Linked DNA regions of Callithrix jacchus. The protein of the gene in region 1 interacts with the protein of each later gene in a biochemical or structural test. Links are inferred from orthologs where the notes say so. Each region holds a gene or a part of one and is shown in the gene's direction. Other genes may lie near its edges. The genes, in order: ACVR2A, GDF2 and SYNJ2BP.

Evidence for each region.
Region 2: the proteins of ACVR2A (region 1) and GDF2 form a complex in vitro, tested with the Homo sapiens proteins (2 studies listed by BioGRID). The link is inferred for Callithrix jacchus from reciprocal best matches to the Homo sapiens genes ACVR2A and GDF2.
Region 3: the proteins of ACVR2A (region 1) and SYNJ2BP form a complex in vitro, tested with the Homo sapiens proteins (2 studies listed by BioGRID and IntAct, with this or other methods). The link is inferred for Callithrix jacchus from reciprocal best matches to the Homo sapiens genes ACVR2A and SYNJ2BP.

The regions. Positions count from the first base shown.
Region 1 is NC_133507.1:82,454,663-82,464,918, reverse strand, and holds part of ACVR2A (activin receptor type-2A), read left to right. Parts: intron 1-2,145; coding exon 2,146-2,289; intron 2,290-4,213; coding exon 4,214-4,357; intron 4,358-4,573; exon of another isoform or gene 4,574-4,680; intron 4,681-5,522; coding exon 5,523-5,668; intron 5,669-7,318; coding exon 7,319-7,433; intron 7,434-10,076; coding exon 10,077-10,215; intron 10,216-10,256. UniProt on the Homo sapiens protein: On ligand binding, forms a receptor complex consisting of two type II and two type I transmembrane serine/threonine kinases.
Region 2 is NC_133513.1:41,183,646-41,193,179, forward strand, and holds GDF2 (growth/differentiation factor 2), read left to right. Parts: upstream 1-274; 5' UTR 275-489; coding exon 490-835; intron 836-2,831; coding exon 2,832-3,766; 3' UTR 3,767-5,552; downstream 5,553-9,534. UniProt on the Homo sapiens protein: Potent circulating inhibitor of angiogenesis. Signals through the type I activin receptor ACVRL1 but not other Alks. Signaling through SMAD1 in endothelial cells requires TGF-beta coreceptor endoglin/ENG.
Region 3 is NC_133509.1:105,335,005-105,345,260, reverse strand, and holds part of SYNJ2BP (synaptojanin-2-binding protein), read left to right. Parts: exon of another isoform or gene 1-5,428; intron 5,429-5,434; coding exon 5,435-5,575; 3' UTR 5,576-10,256. UniProt on the Homo sapiens protein: Regulates endocytosis of activin type 2 receptor kinases through the Ral/RALBP1-dependent pathway and may be involved in suppression of activin-induced signal transduction.

The DNA.
Region 1 (10,256 bases):
GGGAACTTGAAGTGTATGCATTTGGAAAACATTTAATGACCTTTTTTTTCCCCCCAAATGTAGATACTGAAAATTACTGTTTTCTAAAATTAATGTTATGCTAAAATCATAGTTTGAACTGCTGACATATTCTTAATTGTGGATTAAATAATCTATGTCTCATTTTATAGATTTAATCATATTCATGTTGTTGGTATCCTTTAGAACAGAGAATGGATAATGTGTATATTAACTAGAGAGACATTACCAGTCAATGCACACAAAAGTTATTAAAACTCTTAATATTGTAATTTTGAATTGTATTCCCTCTATCTAGTTACTTTTCCTCTTCAGCTTTTGGCCACTTTCTGCATACTTTAGTTTTTGGCATCCCCTCTACTTTGAAACATACCTCTCTACCTTTCTAACATTTTCTATTTTGTTTAAATATGCCTTTATGCAGTTATACAATAACTCTTTGCCCTTGAGGACTGAATGGTTTCTTTTCCTCTTGAAGAGTAGTTTTCAAACTTTTTTCTCCTGTCTCCAGTCTTATAAGTAGCCTGCTTCGATCAGTAGAATCTCTCAGATAGAGGTGATCACTTGAAGAATGAGGGAAGGAGGGCATAGTTTTAATAAAAACTCTCTAGAGGTTCTTGTGTCCCCTCCACTGAGAATCACACTTGAGAGCCCATCCTTCCTGTAAGATTTGAATGTTATCTCCTTGACCCGTCACTCTGCTAAACAGAAAGACTCTGGCTTTACCAACCTTTCATGTTTTGAATGTGGGAAGGACAAGTAACTTTGTAGACAAAAAAAATGTCTGAGTTTGAAATGAGTCACAGGAAATCTTCTGTTTTGTCTTACTGTTTAAATAGGAGTTCTAAAGTCATTTTATAAAGATGGTCTTATTTAGAAGAAGAAATTCCATGTTTTTTCTATATAACGCCTTGCAATGTTTCTGTTGCTGAGGTCCTTTCTAATATATAGTAAACTTTAAAAACTCTTGAGTGGCACCAGTGAGCTGAGTGATGCCTAAAGAAGTTACTGACTGTCTTTGAGGCATTAGAAGAGATAAAAAGAAAGGCAGGGAGAGATGCATTAATCTGGGATGACATTACCATTTCTAAGTGTCTGAGGTGCCACCCAGTGTCATCTTATCAGTTGCTTTTGCCACAGAAATTTTAGTTCCTCCTCAGAATACTCATTATGCAGCTCTCCGAACCATTCTGTTGCTTTTCTCTGGAAGTTTTTCAGAAGGCTTCCTGCATCTTTCTTTAGTTGAAGATAGGGAACCGAGAGAATGTTTTCAATGAAGGGTTGTATTCTGCTTTGATAGGGAGGATTCCCTTGTGATTTGTAGATGCTGTATTCCTATTTATATATTATGTTTGCTCTATTTTTTAAAAAAAAACTATAGCAGCGTACTTTTCTTTTGTTTACCATATTCTGTTATCTATTATGATGACCACTTCTTTTCTGGATTTTTTATTTGTGCTTCTTTGCCAGTCAGTCAATTCCAGAATACAGATAATGTTTTACCTCAGAACAAAGGGATGAATTGTTAATATGTTGAAAATTAGAATGAACCAGTTTGGTTAAAGAAATATTAACTGACATTTCTGGTATGTGCTTTATATTTGATATACCTATCTGCAATGTGTTTAAGAATGACTGCGGGTGTCTCTGAGATTAATGAAGAAAAATTTTAAACAGTCACTGGAAAAAGTAGTAGATGTTAAGGAGTGATTTTCACTGATATATAGCCATAATTTGCTGTTTCTGGTGCTTTTCAATTCCTCTTCTAAGGAAGTACAAACTGGATGAAATAAATGAGATACTTTTAGTAATTCATAGTTCACAGAAAATCTTAGTGGGGAAAATTAGTGAGACTGTATCAGAAATATTTTAGATATTTTCTCTTGTGCTACATATATAGCAGTAATGCTGAATGTTACTATGAAAACTCTTAATTCAGGTTGCCTGCCTTGTGATCACTATAGATAATTGGTAATATAATTATGGCAAAATTGAAATGAATGTCATCCATATGTGTTTACTGTTTCTGTCAGTTGACTTTTCAGTACACTCACTTTTTTTCTCATTTTCAGAGTTGATATGTATCATGTTCTGCCTATTTATAGTAGTATTGTTGTTTATCTGTAGGACCCAGGACCACCCCCACCTTCTCCATTACTAGGTTTGAAGCCACTGCAGTTATTAGAAGTGAAAGCAAGGGGAAGATTTGGTTGTGTCTGGAAAGCCCAGTTGCTCAATGAATATGTGGCTGTCAAAATATTTCCAATACAGGTATGTTTATTGCAGTTTTGTTATCTTACATATATGCTTTATGGCTAGGTCATCATAACTCAGAAATAGTCTCAAAACAGAAGCCATATGTTCCAAGATGGTTCTTTGTGTTACTGGGAAAGCAGTTAGCTCTTTTAATGGCTGCCTTTGCATCTGAGAAATGGATTTGTTAGTATAACATTCATTATGTTTGTCTGGAGTGGTGGAATTAAAATAAATGAATGCATAGGAGATCTTTTGCCAATGAAAATTTTATAGAAATGTTTAAATAAAGATTCCAATAAACAAGTCTAATTGAGTGGTTAAATTTTGATATCCCCTTACATTGTCAGAAAAAGCAAACAGAGAAACAAAGGAGTGGTATGCTTTGTTTTAGAATTGCTATTTGGAGGTATATTGCTAGACTTGATTTATTTTCATTCTACTTTGACTGTTTAGTTAGTTTAGTTTTTTGATGCATTTTCAGAGACAATCAAGACTTCAAATAATCAGTTTATTGTTGAATTGTTTTTCTTTTAGAGGTTGGCTGGACCTCTCATGAAACTCTGATCTGATACACCTCTGAGCTATTTTGTTTTGTTCTGTTGGTGGTGTAGATTTATGATGATTCTTTCTTCACTGCCTCTTGCTTATATACCCTGGCGGTTTATGATATCCTTGGTACTGACATCTTGGCTGAATTTGGTGATACAGGCGCTACCACTACACTTAGAGAGTGGATCTTCTTTTTCCAAAGTTGTCATATAAGCAATTTCTTTGTCTTAATATACCTAGATTTTAACCTTCTTACCTCCTTTAATGCCTGTCCAGTCTATGAACTGTATTACATAGAGTTTATGAATTGTATTACATTTTATTTGTAGTTGTAAACCACAGTTTAGTTTTCAGAGAAAAAGGGCATTCTGTTGTGCCAAGATTCATAAATAAGATAAGGGAAGAAATTATTTCCAGGTGCAAGAAAGCATAAAGATCAGAGAAAAACATTTGGATGATATTAACCTTAGCCCAACAACAGTAGCTAACATTTTAGTGAATGCTTTTATTGGGTCAGGTAGTGGTGCTTTACATACATGAGTCCTCACTAATATGTGTATGTATATTACTGACATGTACATAAAATGCAACATATGCTACAACAATCCTATAAGACATACACTGCAATGCCTGTTCTACTTATTGAGGACACTGAAGGATTATGTAACTTGCCAAAGGTTAGTGGGAGAGCCAGGATTTAAGTTTGGACAGTTTGGATTCAGAGGGTTTCTATGAGTTTCTAACCATTATGCCATAGTGTCCCTCACTATCGTTGTCTTTTTGTAGTAAAAAGAAACTAATCTTTTATAAGTAGGTATTTAGTAGGCATGGATTGCTTACAGGCACAAATGAACATATGGTGTCTTAAATTATTGCATTGCAAATCTATGCCACTTGCTTTCTCCTTGACTTTGCAGGGTATGCTAAACATTTTTTAAAGGATGTTTGATGTTATCCTTTGAAAAAAAGAAATGTTTTGTTTTGAGGAAGTCATTCTACCAGTATTTCATCTTTTGGGGAGATTATTCTGAATAGTACCACAAATAACTTCACAACATGATGAAATTACAATGTAATATTTGGCAATAACTTATAAGCAAATGTGTTGCCATTGTAAGATACAGAATGTAGCATTTCGGATCAACTTCTTTGTTTGTAAACTAGAAACACAGAAAAGTATGTTTTAAGGGAATGGACAGGGCTGGTCTTTAGTATGAATTCGTTAACCTATTGTCAGAGCTTTTTCTTATTACACAACAGAACAAAAAGATTTTTTCGTACTTTTTTGTTTTGTTTTGTTTTACTTTGGAACTTATTTGAGTAATCTCTTAGACATGGTTTATTTACCTGTATTGTTTGTGTTCTTATTATTCTTTCCTTTTGACTCTAGGACAAACAGTCATGGCAAAATGAATATGAAGTCTACAGTTTGCCTGGAATGAAGCATGAGAACATATTACAGTTCATTGGTGCAGAAAAACGAGGCACCAGTGTTGATGTGGATCTTTGGCTAATCACAGCATTTCATGAAAAGGTAAAACTGTTCAACATTTTAATTTAGTAAAGTCTGGGTTGGCCTGCTTAGCTAATGTTGGCTATAAATCCCTCAGAGTTATTTTTCTAGACATGTTATAGTTGATTAGTATTTAACCTGAAAATAAAATAATTCTTGAATAAAAGTCTGTTTTAAAAGGTAGTTCATTTTAATAAAAGAGCGAAGATAGCAACTTTTTAAAAAATTTTTATTTTAAAAAATATGGAACGCTTCACGAATTTGCGTGTCATTCTTGCGCAGGGGCCATGCTAATTTTCTCTGTATCGTTCTAATTTTAGTGTATGTGCTGCCGAAGTGAGCACGATAGCAACTTTTTAACTAACACTCTACTCATATAAACCACCCTTTTTTCCCTTATTTCTTGTGCTGTAATTACTCTTATAAACATTTATGTTAGTATAGATAATGCTTAGTAATTTTCATTTACCATTTACAATTCATTTTGAGTACATAAACTTTATTTTTTTTTTCCAGTTTTAATCAGTCTTGCTTAGGGACAAAACCAGAGACAGGAAATTTATCTGATCCTTGAACTCTCACTAACTTGCAGGGTAATTATCACCAAAACATAATTGCTAGTTTTCCTCAATTTTTCTACTTCCAGAGCTAGTGTGAAAGTACCATTAGTGAAGTAGGAAATTGTGTTTTTGGTAATTGGTTTCATCATTGTGAAATATAAATGGCTTTTTTACTTCACTTAATTCTTGACCTAAAGGACGACAGTAATTTCTAGAGGAATATTCTATATATTAGTTGTTTTTTTATGTTGTAATTTTGTGTTCTCCTAGTCTCATGATGTAACATCTCTATAGTCAGGATATTTCAGCTTTTAAAATACTTTCTAGAACTTTAGATTGTTCCATTCGTCTTTTAAAAAAAAATGTGTCTTATAGATTGGTGGAAATTGACTATTCTTGTAATAAACCTTTAAGGTTCAGTGGTATTTCTTTCTGGTCAAATGTTTATTAATGTGAAATGGAAGGAACTTTGAACCATTCCAGAAAGATTGTTTCTTGGATATAATTTTCCCTGAAAGGAAAGATACGCTGCCTTCCATAACCTCTTTTAGGTAAAGAGAAACGTCTCCTTATACATATGGCCTTTGTCGAGAACATAAGTTTCTTTTTTTCCCTCTTTTCTTTAGGGTTCACTGTCAGACTTTCTTAAGGCTAATGTGGTCTCTTGGAATGAACTGTGTCATATTGCAGAAACCATGGCTAGAGGATTGGCATATTTACATGAGGATATACCTGGCCTAAAAGATGGCCACAAACCTGCCATATCTCACAGGTAGACAAATGTTGTTTTCCCAGATAATTGAGTATATATTTACTGAACTTTTAAGCCCCTGGGTAAATTTTAGTTTCCTCCTTGTTATGCAGTCATGCTTTACAAGACAGTTGATTTTCATTTCTTTTTTAAAATTTGTCTTGAGATTGGCCAGGAAGTATTTTTTATAATGTATATGTTAACATCATTGGTAAAGTTTGATGATCTACCTCATCTCATTTCTGAAAGCATGGTTGAAAATAAATTGTATTTCCTCTATCTTATAAATTATATTATCTCTATAAGGAAAAAGACATTTGTTTTACCTCAAAACATGATTTACAGGGATTGTTATACAAGGGCATGTAATGAAGGAGAGACTTTGAATGTCTTCCTTGCTTGTTTTTTGAATCACCTTATTATCTTTAGCCAAAGTAGAGGCAGGCATCATTTAAACAATTGTCCAGTGAAGAAATAGTACTTAGACCCAACAGTTTTCATGGCCATAAAAGGAAAAAATGATTGTTTTTTAAACACAGAATTCAATTTTCCATGTATTTAATTTCCTTGAACATGGGATTCAATTTGTCATCTCGTGTTCAATTTAAAGATGGTTGTTTTAAAAGTAGGCATTAACTGACTCACGGAATAGATATTTAGTTGAGTGCTACCAGGTGATGTTTTAGGTTGCTGGGGGGCATTATTGTAAGTCAGCTGCTAATTTAGGTTCTGATTTTGAAAACTTTAAATGAGATCTACCTCAGAAATAACTCTTCTTTCTTCTCACTCTCTTACATGCAGTCTAATGGCCTCTTCTTGGATTCTCCCTTGTCCTACCTGGCCACATAGGGAATTAATTCTTAAGAATTCACAAAGTTATTAGGAAAAGGGCCTGAAAGTCTTTTGAAGCTAAGACTGATTATTGGCTTTTATAGCATTTGGGAGTATTTCCTTGTGCTTTCAATATCCCATTCGTGGTCTATGTGTCTGTACATAAATTTAACCACTAGTCATGGCATAGTTACTCATGTATTTAACTAGGGTATAGTAGTTCCTAGGATAAGCCAGTTGAGACAGGTGTGTAGAATAGGATGTCTTATTGCCTTAGTACTGTTTTGCCTTTCAGAACACCAGGATCTAGCTAGAGCAGTGTCTGTTTATGGTAAAAAGATTGGATCTGTTATGCATTCCATAAGATACTTTTCTACAGCCAGGTGGAAGAATATAAGAACCACTTAATAAGGGAATATTCTAAAATGTAGGTCTATGCCAAAAAGCAGAAGACCTCAATTCACCTATTTTCAAAAAATTCCTTCATTTTGTTTTTTAAATTTTAGTTTCTATGGGAGTTTGCATGTAAGAACTCTGAAACATTATCTTAAAAAACAGTTTTATGATTGATAGGTGGGAGACATAGATAACATATCTTTTTGGCACAGCAGATTTTTATATAACTGCCTTATGGGTAGGGTTACTTCTTCTTGTCCATATTGTGAATAGGAGTTTGTCACTGTACTCTTGTGTTTAAGGATACATGGGGGCTCTGAGCTTTTTCTCTTCCCCTTTCTCTGCATTTCATAGTATATATATTCCCCCCCTTTTCACTTTCAATAAAAAATTGAAAAAGATAACTTGTTTAAACTTAATTTGAATACTCTTTTTATTTGCAAGGGACATCAAAAGTAAAAATGTGCTGTTGAAAAACAACCTGACAGCTTGCATTGCTGACTTTGGGTTGGCCTTAAAATTTGAGGCTGGCAAGTCTGCAGGTGATACCCATGGACAGGTAAGGATGATGATTCTGAAATGTAAGAAAAAATAAACTTGTTCCATATTTTCTTAGAATGACATGTTAGGACTGAATTAGTCTAAAATTGTTGTGGTGTTTAAATCAGCATCTAATAGAGTTATATCTTTAAGTTTCTGAGGAAGACATTTTCATATGGTGGTGGAGGACTTAGGTGGTTTAGATCAAGTTCTTCATAAAATAATCCTTAGACGCATGTCATAGGATTCTTTTTGAAAAGTTGATCAAAGAATAATCCAGCACCTTTTAATGGACCTCATTCTTAGGGAGTTCTTCATACTATCTCAGTAGTTTTAGTCTGTTAATTTTTTCACCAGCTTAAGATGAGCAGGAGGGTAATTAGTCACTATCCTTACTACAGTGTGTTAAAGATTCCCTGTCCATTTTCCCATGCAATAATAGTTTCTTGCTTCTCGTTTATTGCTTCATTAACTCTTTAATCAGCCTGATGGCTTTTCTCCAGATTCTCTCCAGAGTTCAGAACCATTGTAAACCCCTGAATTAGGTGTGTAATTCTTCACACCTCTCTGCACTTCTGTGTGCACAGAGATCTTAGTAATGGGAATGTTTTTGAAGGCCAAAAGGGAAAAGAACATTATTCATACATTTTATTTTCAGAAACTTTGAGGTTGGAACAAGATCAACTTTTATTTATTTTTATTTATTAATTTACTTTTGAGATGGTGTCTTGCTCTGTCACTCAGGCTGGAGTACTGTGGCATGATGTTGGCTCACCGTAACCTCCGCCTCTCAATTTCAAGTGATTCTCCTGCCTCAACTTCCTGAGTAGCTGGGATTACAGGAGTGCACCACCATTCTTAGCTAATGTTTATATTTTTCGTGGAGATGGGGTTTCACCGAGTTGGTCAGGCTTGTATCAAACTCCTGACTTCAGGTGATCTGCTCACCTCGGCCTCCCAAAGTGCTGGGATTATAGGTGTGAGCCACCACTTCCCAGCCAAGATCACTTTTTAATCAGTGAAACCAGTTCAACCTAAAAGATGACATTTTCTACAAAGCTAAATGATTCAGGCCTTTGGCATTATCATTTCTTCATCTTTCATGTCATGTAAATTTTTTGGCCAACTAATTCTTAGCTTTTGTTTCCCCAGCATATCCTATTAGTTCTTGAGGTCATGGTTTTAAACAATCATGGCAAAAAAATTTTTGGCAATATTGACTAATGGTTTAAGAATTTAGTTTGAGGTAATGGTCAGTAGCCGTGTAGCTCTAGAAAAGTTGACTGCAAATGTATATGGGAATGGAGGCAATTTTGTGGAGAATACTACCAAGATTGTGTAGGAAGCCTGAGGACAAATTTCTCAGCTAATTGAATGATTGACTATCATAAGACTAAATTCTGGGATCATGTTCTTAATTTGGTACCTCATAAGCCCTCCTTCCCCTATTTTTTGAGAAAAAAAAATTGACTCATTCATGTCATATTTTAACTACTTCATAATTGGGTTCTATGATGAGTTAAAAATTAATTGCTTATGGCAAATGACTCATTGACTTTAGATTTCATGGACCAGAAAATTTCAAAACTATTTGGAGGGACTTGCATGTTATTGCACATTTTATATAGTACAAAGGAAGAACACATATAAAAGAGGTGACATTTTATGTCAACATGGTAGATAAACCAATAATCTTGTAATAAAAAAGGTAGGTACTTTGGATGGCATAGATTTATCTTTAAGAGAAAAGTAGGCTTTAGGGAAACACTCACTGACAGTACAATTAAAATATTCAGAGTAGAAAATTTTTAAAAAGTAGAGCTACTTTTTCCCTTTCATGTAGATTCCTTGAACTTTAGGCTTAGAGATATGTCTTTATTCTTAAAAAATCTCTGTTGCATGTATATTTGCATAAATTGCCCAACTTTTAGTCTAGAGTAGAGATTACAGCCACCTAAGGATGGAGCTTTATGGGCGTACCAATATCTAGACTACTCTCTAGTCCTAATACATCACAAGTGTGTTGTGATGTACCCAGCTATCTCACAAGTATTTTTAAGCATTTATATATGAATGTTGTCAAGCACCAACCAAAGCTAGCTGTACTAGCTTAGTAACCATAGTTACAGTACTAAGAAATACCAAATTGTTGGGGACAGATATAAATAAAGGACTCCAAGACAGAAGAATTCATGAATAAACAAATACATAGATTTTGTACAAATAGAACTTTTTAACATCAATGTGCCCTTTACTTGGCTAATTATTTTTACAACATTTTATTAGTTTTTTTTTTAAATACAGAGAAAAGACCTCAAAAAAAGTTGTTTTTTGTTTTTTTTGTGTGTAATCTACATTTCAAACAGTATGCAAAAGTACAATTGAAAAGTATGCAGTGGCCTTCTCCCAGCTAACAGTCAGTTCAGTTTTTTGTAATTACGTCTAGAAAGGGGAACAAAAAAACTTCCAAGTCTGTACTAGCATAATGTCTGTTGATATATTTTTTAAGTATAAGCAGAAAGGATCTTACTATTTATATACTATAGTCTGGTATACTTACCCTGGTAATAGATGATATTTGGTTTTGATTCTTACAAAATCATACAGTGTTAGTTCATAAAGTTAATGAATGAGTACTCTTTGCTTTTAACATCTTTTTCAGGTTGGTACCCGAAGGTATATGGCTCCAGAGGTATTAGAGGGTGCTATTAACTTCCAAAGGGATGCATTTTTGAGGATAGATATGTACGCCATGGGATTAGTCCTGTGGGAACTGGCTTCTCGCTGTACTGCTGCAGATGGTAAGGGAAAAAGTAATTTAAAAAAAGGTATATATGCCTAC
Region 2 (9,534 bases), on another chromosome or scaffold:
TCACTGTGATCTTGCACTGCCCTTTCTTTATTTAGAGGACTTACTGGTCTTGTTTCCTGGATTCTTCACTCCTGTGGCCCAGGAGATAGAGTATATGTCACCCTGCCTGGAGATTCTTCTGAACAGCCCTGGCAAGGAAATGAGAAAGGATCCTAATTAGGGGGCAATAACCCCCAGGAGAAGCGCAGATTCTTTACAGTAGGCCATGTCCTTCCCACATGCCCTGTGTATTTGTCAGATGTTTATAGAGCCTTCATTAACGAAGGGCTCCCTCAGATAAGAGGGTGGAGTGAGGCATCGAGGACCAAATTAGCACAAGTAGAGGACAATCCAGCCTGGCGGCAGGCAAGAGTGGGCACTGGCCAGGACGGTTCCTTCAGAGCAAACAGCAGGGAGATGCCCGCCTGCTCCTTCCCAGCTCCTCCCCGAGCCTGCTAACACGGCACGGCTGCCTGCAATCTCCTCTCTGGGTAATTGCGTGGGCCCAAGATGTGTCCTGGGGCACTGTGGGTGGCCCTGCCCCTGCTGTCCCTGCTGGCCGGCTCCCTACAGGGGAAGCCACTGCAGAGCTGGGGACAAGGGTCTGCTGGGGGAAATGCCCACAGCCCACTGCGGGTGCCTGGAGGTGAGCTGCCAGAGCACACCTTCAACCTGAAGCTGTTTCTGGAGAACATGAAGGTGGATTTCTTACGCAGCCTTAACCTGAGCGGGGTCCCTTCGCAGGACAAAACCAGAGTGGAGCCTCCGCAGTACATGATCGACCTGTACAACAGGTACATGTCCGATAAGTCAACCACGCCAGCGTCCAACATCGTGCGGAGCTTCAGCATGGAAGGTAACGTCTCTGCTTGCATCAGGCGCACTGGGGTGGGGCTCACAGGTCCACAGCTGCCCTGACCATCGTGGAGGCTGCTGGCCATAGGAGGCTCTTCAAACTCATTTACATTAGTTACAATGAACTAAAATTAAAATGTAGTTCTTTGGCCTCACCAGCTTCCTTTCAAATGTGTGGCTAATGGCTTTGCTATCAGGCAGAGCAGATTGCAGGACATTTTCATTGTCACTGAGAGTGCTACTCGGCCGCTCTGCTCTGAAGGATTCACCTTCTCTGGGCTGTGTGTCATGTTTCACACAGCAGGTGCACAGGGATGCCAGCTCCCCTTTTTTCCCCCGCTTCCCTTTGCTCTCCTCTTCTTTCCATCTCCCTGCTCTGATTCACTTCTCTTCCCTTCCCCCTTCACTTCCTGTCCTCTTCCTACTTCAAAACAGATCAGACAACCTATTTCTTCCCCAACTAACTTGTATATTTTTAAACTTTGAAAGCACATCTATTCCTTTCTTGTGAAAGAGTTTTAAAAATCAGATAAAATTCTTTAACAGAGAAATGTTGGAAGAGAACCTAATCGTTTTTAAGTAGAAACATGTCTGACTTAGAAGGACTGGAAGATAACAAACATGGACCTAGAACCTATGTCCTAACTCAGTCAAGCTCACATGATGCAGGTGAAATGAGTTTCTGAACAGCGAAACTGTTCAGTCAAAGCTTGCAGCCACCCAGGGTATCTACCCAAGTCTCCTAAGAAGTGTTAAGCCACTGGATTCTGACCTAGGCCTGTCTGCCTGCACAGCTGGCTTTTGCTGCTGCTTTCTCCCTTTGAATGTCCAGGAGCACAGGGCCTCTCCCCTCCTGGGTCTGAGACTTGCAAATGGCTAAGGGCCCCAGCTCCATACCACAGCCAGGCCAGATCTAACCGGTCTGCAGAGGCAGGACTGGAACGTCAAAACCTGCCGGCTGGATTTCCCTACAGCACAGGGTCTCCACACATGTGGGCACAGCCAGTGCTCAAAAAATGCAAACTTTCCCCTGCCTGTGAGCCAGCCACGGTATAGCAGGAGCATGCTAATGACAAAGTGTCAGCCCAGGATCAATGGGAAATTGAGACAACTATGTGGCTAAAAGGCAAGCCCCATTTTTGATTGACATGACAAAGCAATTTAAGCCAATAGGTTTTTTCCCTCAAGCCCTGAAAACGACCGTCCACCTTCACTTTGTTTGGAAATTACAATTCCAGACAACTTAGACACTGCAAATGCTGAGTTTTTTGTTTTTTGTTTTTTTTTTTTTTTGAGATGGAGTTTCGCTCTTGTTACCCAGGCTGGAGTGCAATGGCACGATGTTGGCCCACCTCCGCCTCCTGGATTCAGGCAATTCTCCTGCCTCAGCCTCCTGAGCAGCTGGGACTACAGGTGCGCGCCACCATGCCCAGCTAATGCTGAGATTTTTAACATTGTCTTAATATTGAGCTTTCCTGTCCCCACCCAGGATCTCTCCTTTAAATTCATACACTCAGAATCTTTACTCAGGACCTGACAGTGAGTTTTGCTGCTTTCTTTATGTACTCAACTATCTGTGTGCTACTAAGTGCCAGGATACTTAACTAGCTGTGTGCATTTTGGTAGCCTTGAGTCCCAGTCTCCACATCTGTAAACGTGGAATAATAGTTAGATCCTCCCAGGGTGAGTGTGAGGATTAATGTGAGATGTATTCTGCCAAGCTTCCCGTGTAATGCCTGTCACATAGTAGATGCTCGGGAAACAGTAGGAGTTGTCAGTCTCAGTTGGAGGCATCTCCTGCCTTTGCTTTTCTTTGGAAGATCTTAAATGTGCCTTTCAAAATACCCTTCTATCTTAAGGGCTTGGGTGAAACCAAATAGAGATTAGAGACCAAAACTGTTAGCCCAGATGTTCTTCTGTCTAAACCCTGAGACTTAGCTTCAGGTCACAGAAACAGAGCCGCCAGCAGATGCCCACCAGGTATGTTTGCATTTCAGATGCCATCTCGGTAACTGCCACGGAGGATTTCCCCTTCCAGAAGCACATCTTGCTCTTCAACATCTCCATTCCCAGGCACGAGCAGATCACCAGGGCCGAGCTCCGACTCTATGTCTCCTGTCAAAATCACGTGGATGCCTCTCACGACGTGAAAGGAAGCATGGTCATTTACGATGTTCTGGATGGAACAGATGCCTGGGATAGTGCTGCCGGGACCAAGAACTTGCTGGTGTCCCAGGACATTCGGGATGAGGGCTGGGAGACCTTGGAAGTGTCCAGCGCCGTGAAGCGCTGGGTCCGGGCTGACTCCACTAAGAGCAAAAATAAGCTGGAAGTGACTGTGGAGAGTCACAGGAAGGGCTGTGACAAGCTGGACATCAGTGTTCCTCCAGGTTCTGGAAACCTGCCCTTCTTTGTCGTCTTCTCCAATGACCACAGCAGCGGGGCTAAGGAGGCCAGGCTGGAGCTCAGGGAGATGATCGGCCATGAGCAAGAGAGCGTGCTCAAGAAGCTGTCCAAGGATGGCTCCACAGAGGCAGGTGAGAGCAGCCGCGAGGACAGCCACGTGGCTGCAGGACCAACTTTAGCCAGACGGAAAAGGAGTGCCGGGGCGGGCAGCCACTGTCAGAAGACCTCTCTGCTGGTGAACTTTGAGGACATTGGCTGGGACAGCTGGATCATCGCGCCCAAGGAGTACGAAGCCTACGAGTGTAAGGGTGGCTGCTTCTTTCCCTTGGCCGATGACGTGACGCCGACGAAACATGCGATTGTGCAGACCCTGGTGCATCTCAAGTTCCCCACAAAGGTGGGCAAGGCCTGCTGTGTGCCCACCAAACTGAGCCCCATCTCTGTCCTCTACAAGGATGACATGGGGGTGCCCACCCTCAAGTACCACTATGAGGGCATGAGTGTGGCAGAGTGTGGGTGCAGGTAGTACCTGCCTGTGGGGCTGGGGAGGCAGGTGAAAGGGGCTCCTCACGAGAGGTCCTGCATCCCCCTGGGCACAACAAGGACTGATTCTATCTGCATGCCAGCCTGGAGGGGGAAAGGGAGCCTGTTGTCCCACCCCATCCCCCACCCAAAGCACACACCACCAATTCAACTGCCAGGGAACCCTAAGGAAATGGGGGTTTGAGCACAACAGGAAAGCCTGGGAGGGTTGTTGGGGTGGAAGGAGGTGACAAAAAGCAGACAAGGGGAAAAATATTTCAGAGTCAGCAGAAAACTGAGCAGCAGTGAGCCAGAGGAGCACAGGTGGGCAGGTGACTGCAGAGACTGATGGAGATTAGAGAGGTGGAGGAGGGCGGGCTCATTCCAAAACCCTGCGGAGTGGAGGGAAGGAGCAGGCCATGCTCCACATCCATCACTGCACATTATTTCCCACAACCCAGGTAGAGGGGCATGGCTTCCAATTTAGAGACACAGAGACCAAAACGCAGGCACATGAAGTAGCATTGATCAATGGCATAATTCCAACCCAGCTCTGTGGAACCCCAAAGCCCAGGATCTTCCCAAGTGCCCCGCTGCAGTTTAGCAGGTCCTCCCTAGCTAAAGAGCAGTGAGTCACTGGGAGCCCAGGAGTGTTCAGGCCAGGCCGGGCTGAGGCTCATCAGTCACAAATGTGACTGGGCTGCTTGGCACATCCAGGGCATGGTCTGGCCACTGTTGCCAGTGCTCACTCAGTGGCCAAATGTTTTTTAATATCTCCTCTGAGGCACTGAGAAACTATCTCCGGCCAACAGCAGGACAGACAGAGAGGTCAGGACAGCAGCCTTGTGGGCTGCATGATACACTATGACCCCCTCATGCAGTGCTCCTGCGGCCAATGGCGCACACGGGACCACTCGCCGTCCATGGCTGAAACCATGTGACCGTTTGAGAGGGCGGGCCACACTTTCCCTTGAGGGACGGGGCAACCTGGGGCCGGTGTCTCTGCCGTTACTCAGCATAGCCAGATCACCAGCATATGGTATCCAGGGTGTCCCCAGTGACAACCCCATGGGAGACAGGCCTGGATTTGAATTTGTTGGAATTAAATGTGCTCGTGCTTTGGTCTTTGAAACATTCCTAGTTTAATGCCTTGGTGACATGTCCTCAAGTGACAAGACTCCAGCCTTCCTGGAGGAGGCCTCCCCAGCCTCAGAAGAGCTACAGTCCTTATGGGCAATCACTGGCTCTGCCTGCATTTGCCTGCTCTCTTGAGTCATGCATGTGCATCCCAGAGCCCTGCCTGAGCTTGGATTGGGACCAGACCCAGGCTCCACGAAGTCAAGGGAGGACGCACCTTCCACCTGCTCAGTGTTTCACCCTCTCCTCCGAATCTCCTGGCCACACATGGAATGGGGCAGTATGAGGAAGATTCTGAAAGTAGTGAAGAGTGCACCCATGGCCCTCTGACCTCCAGCCAGAGCAGGGCCTAGGGGAGGCTTAGAGAGGCCAGGGCTGCTCCCATTTATTTTTTTTAAACAGTGTGTGTGGGAGGGGATGGGAAAGCATTATGTTAAATGTTTACATGGAACCAATGAACAACTTTAACACAAAAATACAATGAAACATTCTGGTTTACTTACTGGTGTTAAAGAAAACATGAATTTCTGGCACATGCCGGGCAGTGTGGTGTTTCAATGCTGTTCCAAGTTGGGTGTTGAGCATCTTCTTTCAGTACTGGTGGTGTTTCTGTGCCTGCTTGAAAGTCTCACTCGGAAATAAAGTCAAATGTCTAATTTGCAGTCCCTCCTGAATGTGAGACCCGATCTTGAGGACGATCTAGACACATACTCTGCTTGCTACACCCTCCAGACCCCACTGGGATGGGCCTCCCCTTCCTAATGGGGCAGAGGGGAGGGACAGGCAGCCGCCCCAGGGCCGGGTGGATGTAGGTGGCTGGTGTCTGTACACTAGGGTGAGTGATGTGCTGTGAACACTGGAGTGAGTGATATGGTGTGTGCACGCTGGGGTGAGTGATGTGGTGTGTGCACACTGGGGTGAGTGAAGTGGTGTGTGTACATTGGGGTGAGTGATGTGGTGTGTGTACATTGGGATGAGTGATGTGTATGCACATTGGGGTGAGTGTTGTGGTGTGTGCACATTGGGGTGAGTGATGTGGTGTGCGCACATTGGGGTTGAGTGATGTGGTGTCTGCACATTGACGTGAGTGGTGTGCTCCTGTATGGGCTTCTGTGTGTGAGGGGGTGGGGCACCTGTTTGTAGGGGTTTGCAAATCAAAGATGACACTTACTTACCTGCCTTCCTCTACCTCCCCGTATATCAGGAGAGGCAGACCCTGAATGCCCTAAAAGACAACACTTAAGTCCTCCTCTCCTCTCCAGCCTAACACCACCTTCTTATTCTCTGCCTGCAGGGGCGCTGCCCTGCCGACCCCACTCCCAGTCCCATAGCCCCAGCCAGTCTTCTGGTGGCCTAGCTACTGTATTGCCATCCTACCCGCCTCCTGATGCTCCGGTTGGGCCTCTCGGGCTCTGAGGAGGGCCACAGTCCTCCTCCTGCACAGTCCTCGTGGGCCTGGCACTGAGAGCTGCTGACATCTTGTCTTGAGTCCCCTGGGGACAAGACCTGTGTGCTCACCTTAGTCACTCCCAGAGGGCAAACATGATTTGTACCCATGTGCAGTGACAGAGCATGCAAGGAAACACCCATGGCATGTTTCCCAGCCTCCATGTCACTGGGTTATTCTTTTGATCACATTTCCTCTGCCTGATGACCACCAGTTCAAGACTGCATTCATCAAGTTTCCTGAAGTATTTCCCTTGCATTTCATCAGGATGGCAATCTTATCACTGTCACATGGATGAAGAAGTGTAAGTCCAGCAAAGCCAGGGGCCTGTCCCTACCCATGCACTGACTCGGCAGGATGGCCAGGCTGTCCTCTGCCCCTCATTGTGCCCTGACCTCTGTGCCATAGCGAGGGGAGAGAGGCTCAGGAATGCCATATAGAAAGCAGCAGCCAGACACATGGAGAGACAGAGGTAGCAAGACGATGGGGACACAGAGAGGCTGCCAGGAGCACCTCTGAAACCTGCCCTGGCCCAGAGCTGCCTTCAGTGGCTCTAAATAACCAGCAGATGAGTAGGAGTCTTCGTTCTGCCTTTTACAAACACACAGAAGACAGAAGCATGTGAAGCCCTCACGCTTTGCTAGAACCATAAGCCAAGCCAGCCACTGCTGGAGACAGAATTTGAGCTCCAGTTTGGGACACCAAGCCCAGATTCTCTCTACTGTATGGAGTCCTGGTGCTTTCTTCAGTGTCAAGATCAAAGTCACACTTGCAGGAAAAATCAAAACAAGGGCATAAATAAGATCAAATAAATAATCTATGCTCTCGTGGGCAAATTCTGTTCTACCAGGGTGCTGCCGTGTCTTATGCTCTGCCCTTCCTGAACTCTCCCCTCCCTGATTTCCCCCAAGTTGGACTCTCCCAGCCCTGGGTTCTGCCATCTCTGGAGTCTCCCCTCCCTGGACTCTCCCATCCCTGAACTCTCCCCTCCCTGGACTCTCCCCTCGCTGGGTTCCACCTTCTCTGGACTCTCCCCTCCCTGGGCTCCACCCTCCCTGGACTCTCCCCTCCCTGTACTTCCCCTCCCTGGACTCTGCCCTCCCTGGGCTCCACCCTCCCTGGACTCTCCCCTCCCTGGACTCTCCCTTCCCTGGACTCTGAGCCAAAGTGCTCCAGGGAAGCCAAGGTCACTGTTCTGCAGATTTCTACCTGGACTAGATGCTCTCTTCCAGAATTCTACCAGAGTTGGAAGAGAGGTGGAATCCCAGGTCAGTGCTTCTGAGAGTGTGCAGCCTTGTCTATTTTGAGCCTGGCTTAACTCCCCAGCACAGCTGGAATGGGAAGCCCCACTCCACTGAACGCCAAAGCTCTTTTTCCCTGTGGGACACCAAGGCTTTGGTTCTGTATCCGGCTCTTCTGATTCGTTCTCTCTGCCCTGGACATCAGCTCCTCCTCAGAGTCTTCCTTAGATTTCTGCTATGCCTGCCCCTGGGGCCCCTTATTCTGGGCCTCTTAAGATAGGCTCACCTGAACCTGGAAGGCTGCACACCATCATCTCCAGTCATCCTTACAGTAGCCCTCAGTAAGGTGGGTTTGCTCCTCTGCAGACGAGGAAGGTAGGTGGAAGAGACAGTGCCAGGTATGCAGCAATGGAGCCTGGACCACCCTCACCTCTGGGGGTTCGATCCCTTCCATGACAGCCCCTGCAGCAGGCCCAGCCTCCAGCTGTGATGGTGCAAAGAGACAGAGGAGAGGCCAGTAGGGCCACACTGGCCTTTCACCTGCAAGGGACCTGGCTCTGAGAGCGCTCCAGTGTTCACAGGCTCGGGTGTGTGGCCCAACAGGCGCTCAGGCTCTGGGCTTGGTTGAATGGTCTGCTGTTGCCATCTTGAAATGTGTAATAAGTTTTGAACAAGGGGCCCACATTTTCATTCTGCACTCAGCCCCACCAACAATACAGCCAATTCTGAATGCATGTAGAGGGTGGCATCTTGGTTTCTCAAGTCCCTGAGGTACTCGGCAGCTATTTCAGGCCTCAGGAGTGACTTGGTCCTGGGAAGACAGGAGTCTGAACTTTGCTGCTAAGTCAGCCCTGCCCGCCTCCCCAGGTGCAGGATGAGGAAGCCCTGAGGTTTCTCCAATGTGTCAGCCGAGGGCAGGAAAACTGTTCATCTCTCAAAGGCTGGCCTGTGACATGGTGCATCAGTGCCTTGGGGGAGGGGTCAGAACTGCTGCCATTTCTTCCCTGTCCTTCTCCCAAGGAAACCATGCCCAAGACGGGCCACACCTCAAATCAGCAGGGAACACAGATGGTTTATGCAGGGTCAGATTGAAGAAACCTTCAGAACATTTTTCTTTTCCTTTACAGGTCGTAGAATCTGAGCCTTGGAAGATAGCACCTACTCCAGGTAGAAATCTGCAGAACAATGACCTCAGCTTCCCTGGAGCACTCTGGCTCAGCCACCCACCACTCCTCCAGAAAGCCCAGATCATGTGAACATGCCCATTTATCAGGAGGATGTGCCCAGGCCTGAGCCAAAGTCCATCTCTTCGCAGCACCCTCTCATGAGCGTCTGCTCTGACTCCAGGGTCCCCTTGGTCCCAGAGAGCCGTGACATAAAAGCCATCTCCCTGGAGAGCAGAGGGGTTTAGGCTATGGTAGAAATGGGCAGGGTTCAGGCCAACCAGGGGCCAGGGGCTGGGTCACTTTCTGGATCAACGTGAGAAAAATGAGGACAATGAAATATTGTTTGTAAAAGCCAAATACAGTTTGGGAGTGTTCAAATATCTTCCTACTTTCTAGGAAATAATAGCCACAATAAGTAATAGGTTGATTTTTTTTAAATAACATTCAGACTTGGCAAAATAAAATTGCAACAACTCGGCATTGATTTTCAAAATGATTATTTGAGACAGGGCCTTGCTCTGTTGCCCAGGCTGGAGTGCAGTGATCTTAGCCCACTATAACCTCTAATTCCTGGGCTCAGGCAATCCTCCCTCTTCAGCCTCCCAAATAGCTCAGACTGCTACTACTACATGAGTCCTGACCGGAGCCCAGAGTCAGGGAGATGAGGTGCATGCAGATGCTGGTCCCGCCCAGGCGTCGGCACTGGCGTGCCCTGAGCCCTCAGTGGAAGGCGGCTGCTCTTACCACTAACCAAAGGATTGAAGATCAGATCAACGAGAAG
Region 3 (10,256 bases), on another chromosome or scaffold:
GCACACCTTTAGTCCCAGGTACTCAGGAGGCTAAGGTGGGAGGATTGCTTGAACCCAGGAGGTGGAGGTTGTGGTGAGCCAAGATCATACCCCTATACTCCACCCTGGGCAAGAGAGTGAGACCCTGTCTCAAAGAAAAAAGAAAAATTCACAACAGTATGGCTTATAACCCAGGTCCTCACTTCAAGGTAATATGCCTTAAAGATAAAGCTTGACAACCAAATTAAAATAGATGGTTTACAGAGGGACCTCATCTCTTTAAAAAATAATAATAAAAATAAATACATAAAAATTTTTAAGAGTCACATGAACCAAAGGCAAATAAATAAATTCATTAATTTTTAAAAAGATGGTGGAAAAAAACCATAGCTGATTTTACTTTTTGGTAGGGAAGGAACCATATGTCTACCCTTGAAAATTCATTTATAAACCGGGGAATGATCCAAGATGGCCGATCACTAACATCTCGGGATTGCAGCTCCCAGCGAAAGCTCAGACAACGAGAGGACGCCACACTTTCAGACAAATTTTGGTCGCTCACAGAGCAGAAGATTCCCAGTGGAGGAGCTCCACGGGTCGCCAGCGCGACTCTTGTGGTCAGCGCAGCGTTTTCGTCGGCGCCTCGGCACGGCTGCTCTCGGTGCCGAGTAAACAGGACTGGTTCCCCTTCTGACCGAGGTCTGGAGGAGCCACACGGGTCGCCAGCGCGACTCTTGTGGCCGGCGCAGCGGTTTCACCGGCACCTCGGTGTGGCAACTCTCGGTGCAGAGTAAACGGGACTGGTTCCCCTTCTGACCAAGGTTTGGAGGAGCCACACGGGTCACCAGCGCGACTCTTGTGGCCAGTGCAGCGGTTGTGCTGGTACCTCGGCGCAGCAGCTCTTGGTGCAGAGTAAACGGGACTGGTTCCCCTTCTGACTGAGGTTTGGAGCTCCGGGAAGGCAGAGTTGCCTATTACGGACTCAAGAAGGAAGCCAGACTGGAGATTCCCGGGCAGAAAAGCACCATCAGTCTTAACGCTGCTGTTTTGGCCGGCACAGTTGGGTTGCTCATATTTTGGCCCTGGGAATTAACAACTAGGACGTCCACTCAGAGACCTAATTTGAAAGTTGGTAATTACAAAGAAGGCAGGTGGATAAATTTACAATAATGGGAAGAAACCAGCATAAAAAGGCTGAGAATACTCAAAATCAGAATGCCTCTCCCTCTAAAGAGGATCACAGTTCCTCATCAGCAAGGGAACAAGGCTTGATGGAGAATGAGCGCATCCCATTAACAGAATCAGGCTTCCAAAGATGGATAATAAGAAACTTCTGTGAGTTAAAAGAACTGTTGCAGCCCAATGTAAAGAAACTAAGAACTTTGAAAAAAGGTTTGATGAAATCCTAATGCGAATAGACAACTTAGGAATATAAGTGAATTAATGGAACTGAAGAATACAATGCAGGAACTCTGAGAAGTATGCACAGGTTTAAACACTCAAATTGTTCAAGCAGAAGAAAGGATATCAGAGGTAGAAGTCCAATTTAATGAAATAAAACGAGAAGACAAGATTAGAGAAAAAAGGATAAAAAGGAATGAGCAAAGTCTCCAAGAAATGTGGGACTATGTGAAAAGACCAAATTTACATTTGATAGGTGTATCTGAATGCGACGGAGAGAATGAATCCAAGCTGGAAAATATTCTTCAGGATATTATTCAGGAAAATTTTCCTAAACTAGCAAAGCAGGACAATATTCAACCCCAGGTAATACAGAGAACGCCACAAAGATATTCCTCAAGAAGAGCAACCCCAAGGCACATAATCTTAGATTCACCAGGGTTGAAACGAAGGAGAAAATACTAAGGGCAGCCAGAGATAAAGGTCAGGTTAATTACAAAGGGAAGCCTATCAGACTTACAGCAGATCTCTCAGCAGAAACTCTACAAACCAGAAGAGAGTAGGGGCCAATATTCAAAATCCTTAAAGAACAGAACTTTCAGCCCAGAATTTCATATCCAGCCAAACTAAGCTTCACAACTGAAGGAAAAATAAAATCTTTTACGAACAAGCAAGTACTCAGAGATTTTATTACCACCAGGCCTGCTTTACAAGAGCTTCTGAAAGAAGCATTACACATAGAAAGAAACAACCAGTATTAATCTTTCTAAAAATATACCAAAAAGTAAAGAGCATCAACATAAAGAAGAATTTACATCAACGAATGGATAAAACAGCCAGTTAACATCAAATGGCAATAATCCTAAATTTAAATCGACTAAATCCCCCAATCAAAAGATACAGCCAGGCCCAGTCCCCTCGCCGAGTCCCTCTGCTGTCGCCACGATGATGCGCGGGGTGGCCTCCGCCGTGCAGCCAGCCACCGCCGAGACCCAGAACATCGCCGACCAGGTGAGGTCCCAGCTTGAAGAAAAAGAAAACAAGAAGTTCTCCGTGTTCGAGGCTGTGTCCTTCAGGAGCCGGCTGGTTGCGGGGACAAACTACTTCATCAAGGTGCATGTCAGTGATGAGGAATTTGTCCACTTGCGAGTATTCCAAAGTCTCCCTCACGAAAACAAGCCCTTGACCTTGTCTAACTACCAGACCAACAAAGCCAAGCACGATGAGCTGTCCTATTTCTGACCCTGACTTTGGGCAGGGTCCTTCCACCAGAAGGCTGGTAATTAAGTGATTTCTGTGTGGACCCCAGCGTCCACTTGGGATCATAAAATGAGCATCTCCTGGCTGTGCCCTTCGGGTGGAAGGGGCCGGATGCAGCAGCTGCTCTTGCATTTCTGTTCCTAAATTTCATTGTGTTGATTTGTTTCCCCCTTCCAATCAGGGATCTTAATTACTTTCAAAATATTTTCAAAAAATAAAATATATATTTAAAAAAAAAAAAAAAGATACAGCCAAAACCCAACGGCATGTTACATCCAGACCCATTTCACTTGCAAGGATACACAAAGACTCAAAACAAAGGGATGGAGAAAGATTTACCAACCAAAAGGAGAGCAAAAATAAATGAATAAATAAAAAGCAGGAGTTGCAATTCTCGTATCTGATAAAATAGATTTTAAAGCAACAAAGATATAGTGGTAAAAGGATCAATGCAACAAGAAGAGCTAATGATCCTAACACCCAGATACATAAGACCTATAAAGAGACTTAGACTCAACGAGACAGAAAATTAATAAGGATATCAATGACTCGAACTCAGATCCAGAACAAGTAAACTTAATAAATATTTATAGAGCTCTCCACTTCAAATACACAAAATATACATTCTTGTCAATACCACATCACACCTACTCATAGGTTTAAATGAAACATTGGCCATTATTAATACCCATTTTTTTTTTTAGAATAAAGCAACATTTCCCTTCTCTCTCCCTCTTTTTCTTCCTTTTTCTTCCTCTCCTTCACTCCTTTAAAAAAAAAATAAAAGAAAAAGAAAATTCATTTATAAACCATTTGATAAAACTCTTAACTACAAAGATGGTGGGTTTTCTAATACCCACTGTTTGCTTTTGCCTGTCACTGCCATGAACCCTTCATTTATCAATTTGGTGACCCTCTTTTTTTTTTTTTTTTTGAGATGGAGTTTTGCTCTTGTTACCAAGGCTGGAGTGCAATGGCGCGATTTTGGCTCACCGCAACCTCTGCCTCCTGGGTTGAGGCAATTCTCCTGCCTCAGCCTCCTGAGTAGCTGGGATTACAGGCACGAGCCACCATACCCAGCTAATTTTTTGTATTTTTAGTAGAGACAGGGTTTCACCATGTTGACCAGGATGGTCTCGATCTCTTGACCTTGTGATCCACCCACCTCAGCCTCCCAAAGTGCTAGGATTACAGGCGTGAGCCACTGCGCCCGGCCTTTGGTGACCCTCTTAACCAAAGCTTTAGTGTTTATAGAAGAGTTCCAGGAAAAAGGAAATGGAATTTCATCAAGGCAGCACCTATCCCTGCATCTGTTTCTTATTTCTTAGTGTTTTATAATTTGGATGATGTTGTAAAGGGAATCCTGGGTAGATGTAATTCCTCTTATAGCACTGAGACTTTCTGAGTATATTCACAACACAGGTCCCATGTGCCTTTAAATTAAGTAATCAATTTGCTACTTCTTAAATTGGTGCACTGTTTTCCTCACTCAGTGGCTAAGGATTTAGAAGCTTAAGAAGACTGAGAGGAGTTATTAAAGGAGTAGAGAAAACAGAATGTGAAAGATACCTGAGAAAACAACCAGAGTTGCAAGCAGCATCTGGGTGTAATGGATTAGAAAACAGGTGAATAAGAAATAATATTGGTCATCAGTTGCTTCTGCCTTGGCTCTTGTCTTTCTAAAGCATGGGAGAATTTGTGGTGTAGATAAAGACAAGTAAATACAGGCACACACTTCAATATGATTACTGTTGTTTTGGAAGGTATGTGGAAAGTTATTTCCAGTGTTTACTTTTAAGGAAACATCCATAAACAGTTCCTAATAAAAAAGACCCTTCTGTTCAAGGAATTGGCCTAGCCCAAAAAACCATGTCTTCCTATTGATTATATCCTCTCAAGACAGCTCATCAGCAAATGAATGAAAAATCTAGAGGTGGAATAGAGGGTATAATGGTGTTTTGTGCAGTCTTGCCTTTCAGATTGAAGGGTCAGCGTTTTATGAATTGTAATGAGGAAGTTAACTAACTGAAATACGATGGTGCCATAATTATCGCAAGTTAGCCACTAAAAGTTGATATTAAGAAGAGCCACTTTGAAAACCATCACCAAAATAAAGACCATCCAGCCTCAAAGGAAACACTTAGGCAATAGAAAATTATAACCACTAGAATATAATTTCTTTTTACTTTTTTACATCTATTCCAGATAGATTCACCTTCATCTCTCTCTAGTATTAGAAATGAGCAGATGAAGGGCAAAACCCCATCTTTGGAGGGAGTTGGGTGCCTTCTGGGATTTGGAAAGCATTTTTCAAGTAATGGCATTGCACCTATGTTGGCATTGCACCTACGTTGACATTGCCCAGATCTGCTCTTACTACATTTTGATGACTGATTATTGAAATAGACATTTCCAGAAAGATCCCCCTTCTTCCTCACCAAGTAGTATCCAAGTTCCCTATAGGATCATAGGTTTTATCTCATGTCTTCATTTTCCTGATACGATAAGCAAGGTACAGGCAGTACAGAAACAGAAATTACTTGATTTGCCCTCAGGAGACGCTTTAGGTCAGCAAGGTTAAATGCTTCCCCATCAGACCTATTTTCTTTCCAAAGATCCTGTGACACTGATGCATCAGCTCAGGACAAAGAGAGGACTCCTTCTGCTAGGTATTGCTGGGGGACACAGCTTTGGGTGGGCTATAGTCTACAAACCCAGGTGATGTATCAACCTGGGTGTTTCAGTTGTAAACACATGTTAGTCACTAGAGTTAACGTTTTTCTTTCCCTTCCAGTTACAGGTGCAGAATGGACCTGTAGGACATCGAGGTGAAGGGGACCCAAGTGGTATTCCCATATTTATGGTGCTGGTGCCACTGTTTGCCCTCACTGTGGTAGCAGCATGGGCTTTCATGAGATACCGGCGACAACTTTGAAAAACTTGTTCTCTTTCAGTGCTCCCAATGAAGATAACATTTCACTCACCCCTGCTATGCTGCCATGTCTTTCCCTTTGTGTAGCCAGCACATGATTTGAAGTGACTGATACCCACCCCAAACCTTGCTGTTCAGAATCTCCAATTCTTCATATCCTAATGGGAAAGTAAAGGTATTGTTTGAAGGAAAACTGAAGAAAACACTTGCTTAGAACAAAGGAGAAGTTACGTATTTTACTAGGACTTTCAATAGAAATTCAGCTATAACCCAAAGAGAGAAAGATTCAGTCTTCCTCTCACCATAGGCGATACCTCTTTTCTTAGCTGGCATCACATAAAGGCCAGCTATGTAATATTAGAGGAAGAAGGGATTTTTCTTTTTAATGATCTTCCTTGGGAAATTATTGTGGCCTTTATTTAATTTCTAACTACATACCTGGGTGCCTATATCAGACAAGGAGAGTGAGAAGAGCATTTTTACTTTTTTTAAAAAGCAAATACATACATACACATACATATGCAAATATTATAGTATAATATTGATAGCCATGGAGAACTAAAGAGCTCATGAGAAAGCTACTTTGTGGTTTCTAGGTTTCTGATAAAAGGGATGATCTTAACTGAAGAATTTAAAGAGATACAGAGCAAATGTAATAGGCGCAAGGGAGTGAGCCTTATAAGAGGATGTTGTAAGTCTCATTTATTAAAAAAACCACTGAGGCTGGGTGTGGTGGCTCGTGCCCGTAAATCCCAGCACTTTGGGAGGCTGAAGTGGGAGATTGCTTGAGTCCAGGCGTTCAAGACCAGCCTGGGCAACATAGCGAAACTTCATCTCTACTTAAAAAAAATAAATAAATAACTGAAGCGACTAATTAAAAATCTTATTAGAAGAACAATATTTCTAATAATAACTGACTACAGTGAGTTATCATAAGATAAATTGTCATAATCTAGCGAGACTCATATCTAAGAAACTTTGAGGTGTAAAGGTAAATCTTACATATCTCTGGGCTGCTCTAGTGACTTTTTTGATATCTCACAGTCTTGTTAAAGAACTAGGTGGGGCTGGGCATCGTGGCTCATGCCTGTAATCCCAGCACTTGGGGAAGCTGAGGCAGGCATATCACAAGGTCAGGAGATAAGACAATTCTGGCTAATACAGTGAAATCCATCTCTACTAAAACAAAACATTAACTGGGCATGGTGGCAGACACCTGTAGTCCCAGCTGCTCGGGAGGCTGAGGCAGGAGAATCGCTTGAACCCAAGAGGCAGAGGTTGCAGTGAGCTAAGGTCGTGCCACTGTACTCCAGCCTGGGCGACAGAGCAAGACTCCATCTCAAAAAAAAAAAAAGAACCAGGTGGAAGGATTGTGGTAAGGGCTATAGTGCTGGAGTCAACTCCAGTAAGAAAACTCTAAAAGGACAAATGATAAGGTAGTGCCTCCAAGGTGGTACCTGAATTCTCTCAGGCTGTCTTTGGTTTCTAGTAACAAACCTGAGAGAAGAAACTGCCTCCCTGGCAAGATGGGTGTCACATCAACTCTGCTTCTGATTTAGTTAAAATGAGAGGGCATGGATTGCTAGTATTTTTGAAAAGCTCTATACACTACATATGGCTAAACCTTTTTGCAGCAAGAGGGAGGAAGAGAGTTTTGTTTGCTTTAGGAGGTAGGGAAATTTGATACGTGTTTCATGTAGCCTAGGAGGAGGATATGAATAAATGGATATTACAGAATGCCAGTGATATCAATAAGGTGGGAACCGTCCTGTTCATGTTCTTTTAAGGCTGGTTTTAAGCACTATGGGTAGCTGAATTTTCTTAAGAAAATAATTTCCATTATCCAAATATATTGGCCTACTATAGGCCTTATATAATTTTGATAGCAAGATTATGAGGACTCAGTCAATCAGTTATATTTCATTTCTAGCTTTGGACAGTCTAGTAATTAAACAAATGTTGATTGGACATCAGCTTTGTCAAGACACTTTTACAAAGAAGTGCAGTGTGTATCCTCCATCCCATAGGGCTTTTGGGATCTAACTGGGAAGAGAACACTCTTATTGGCCACATAGGAAAGACAGTGTAAGTAGGGGTCATGTTTATATTACAGACAGCAAAAGAGAAAAGTTACTGAGAACTGGGGCATTTGAGAAAGTTACGTGGAGGAAAGGGACAAGTCAAAGACCCTTGAGGAGCTCAAGTTAAGGCTAGTTAAGAGAATTCATAAATAGGTGAGAAGTTAGGTAACCTTTGAAAACAGTTATAAAAGGATACCATACAAAACACAATGCAGCAACAAAGAAGATATACAGACAATCATCACATTTTCTTTTAGGAATTCAGGGAAAAAAAGATGTCACACAATGGCATCAGGCTAGATTGGAAAGGGAAGGCTTTTAAAGGTCCAGTAAGACCTTGCCTCTGGGTCAACTACTGGTATAAGGAGGAACTTGCTTTAAACAGTCCTGACAAAGTGCCTTTTGACCTAATGCCTTTGAGACTCACTTAGACAACCGGACTCATTGTAGGTTCCACAGGAAAACACTGACAGTATTCTAGATCTTACTCCAACCAGCCACACTGGCAGGGCGCAGCCTCGTACCCTTCCTATTTCTGAAGGTATGTATAGTGGCTTCTGCAGCAAAACTGCTTACCTCCCAGGATCACTTCATGGTTTGGACAAACAGGAATGAAAGCTCTAGTTTTTTGCTTGTTGGTATATGTAAATTTTTTTTAAAAGTATCCTCTTCCATCATCGGTAGAAGTTTTGCTTTCATTGATAATAGGGATTCTGATGTACTCTTATAACTTAGGTTTTCTCAGAAATTAAATAGCATTTAAGATCAGTGTAATACAGTTTTAAGCATTACACTGATTATACTGTTGATTCTGTAGAAAACTAAAATTATACATGAGGTATCAGAATCCATTATAGGTTGTAAAAAAATTTATGTTCTTTATATATTGAGTCTAATACTTCTTCTACAGATTGTATCTAATGTTTCTGCTACCTAAATTATTACACTCAAAGTTTTGAAAATTGAAAAAAGATATTTTTAAGTACTTAAAACATTTCTCTATATTTATCACTCTGTATTACGTATATAAAATAAGATTGTTTGCTTCAACTATCTGTACTTTCTTTTCCTGTGAAGTTTTAACTTCATGTATTATTGAATTATTAATAATACATGTATTAATGTATTATTGATTTAACTTAATTGTACCATCTAGCCATGTATAATGGAAAAAGGAAGTTAATATTTGTTATTATGTTCTGTGCCAGGGACTGGACCAAACTCTGATTAGTACACTATCACTATGGCATGCCTAGTTCATGCCTCACAACTCTGGGATCTAACTGTTGTCAGAAAGAGACTAAAGATGAGAGAATAAATTACTTTGCTAGGATGATATAGGTGGTGATAATAGAATCAGATTTAAACTCAGGACTTCACGTTCCAGCATCAGTGATATTCTCTCACTGGTAGTGGTTTTCAAAGCTAGGACAAAAGCATCAGCATTACTGGGGAACTTGTCAGAAAAGCAAGTTCATAGGCTGGGCATGCTGGCTTATGCCTGTAATCCCTGCACTCTAAGAGGCCTAGGCAAGCAGGTCACTCAAGCTCAGGAGTTTGAGACCAGCCTGGACAATGTGGCGAAACCCTGTCTTTACTAAAAGTCAAACGAATTAACTAAGCATGGTGGCCCACACCTGTAGGCCCAGCTACATGGGAGGATCACTTGAGCCCAGGAGATTGAGGCTGCTGTGAGTCATGATTGTGCCACTTCACTCTAGCCTTATAGCAATAGAGTGAGACCTTGTCTCAAAAAAAAAAAAAAAAAAAAAAAAGAAAAGAAAAGAAAAGCAAGTTCTCAGAAAAGAAAAGCAAGATCCCAGACCTAGTCTGAGTGTGACATCACATCTGGCAATCTGCGTTTTAGTAATCCCTCCAGGTGACTGATTGATGCTAAAATTTGAGATTCATTGCTCTATGCCAATCATCATTCTCTTTGCTTGGGTTAGAATCATCTGGAGAGCTTGTAAATGTCCTCATGCCCAGGCTACACACAGATCAGTTAAAAGGAACCTCTGAGGGTGGGACTCAGGCAGCAGTAAAATAAAGTTCATTGGGTGATTCTGGTGTGCAGCCTCAGTTGAAAATGTTATATGGCATTTAAACTCAGACACTATTTCAGTTATTAAATGACATACATTGCTTCAGCCAAAAACAAAAACAAAAAACTTGGGCCTTTAGAGCCCAGCTTTCAGAGCTTCTGCACAAAGTAGAACATTCATTTCCTCCGGATTTGCTAAGGATTGATCAACCTCCAGCAAAATGTATGATTAGTGAGTGTTTCAGTTTGTGCTTCTATTAACTGAGAACCAATCATAGAACGTTGAACCTAAAAAGGACCAGAGAGATTCTAGGATGAATCTGTCTTGGAGATGAGAAAAATCCAGGCTCAGAGAGGGAAGCTAACTTAACTCTGATCAGACTTAGTCTGCTGCAGAGGTCACCTTTCGGTCTGATATTTATGTCTTGAATATATTCCCTAGATGAATACACAAACTATCCATTTTATCTTAGTCTACTTCAGTCTTCTCTCTTTGGGCCTGAATAAAGACGAGGAGAACTGATAGACAGCTAAAGGATATTGCAAGCATGATTATTGGAAT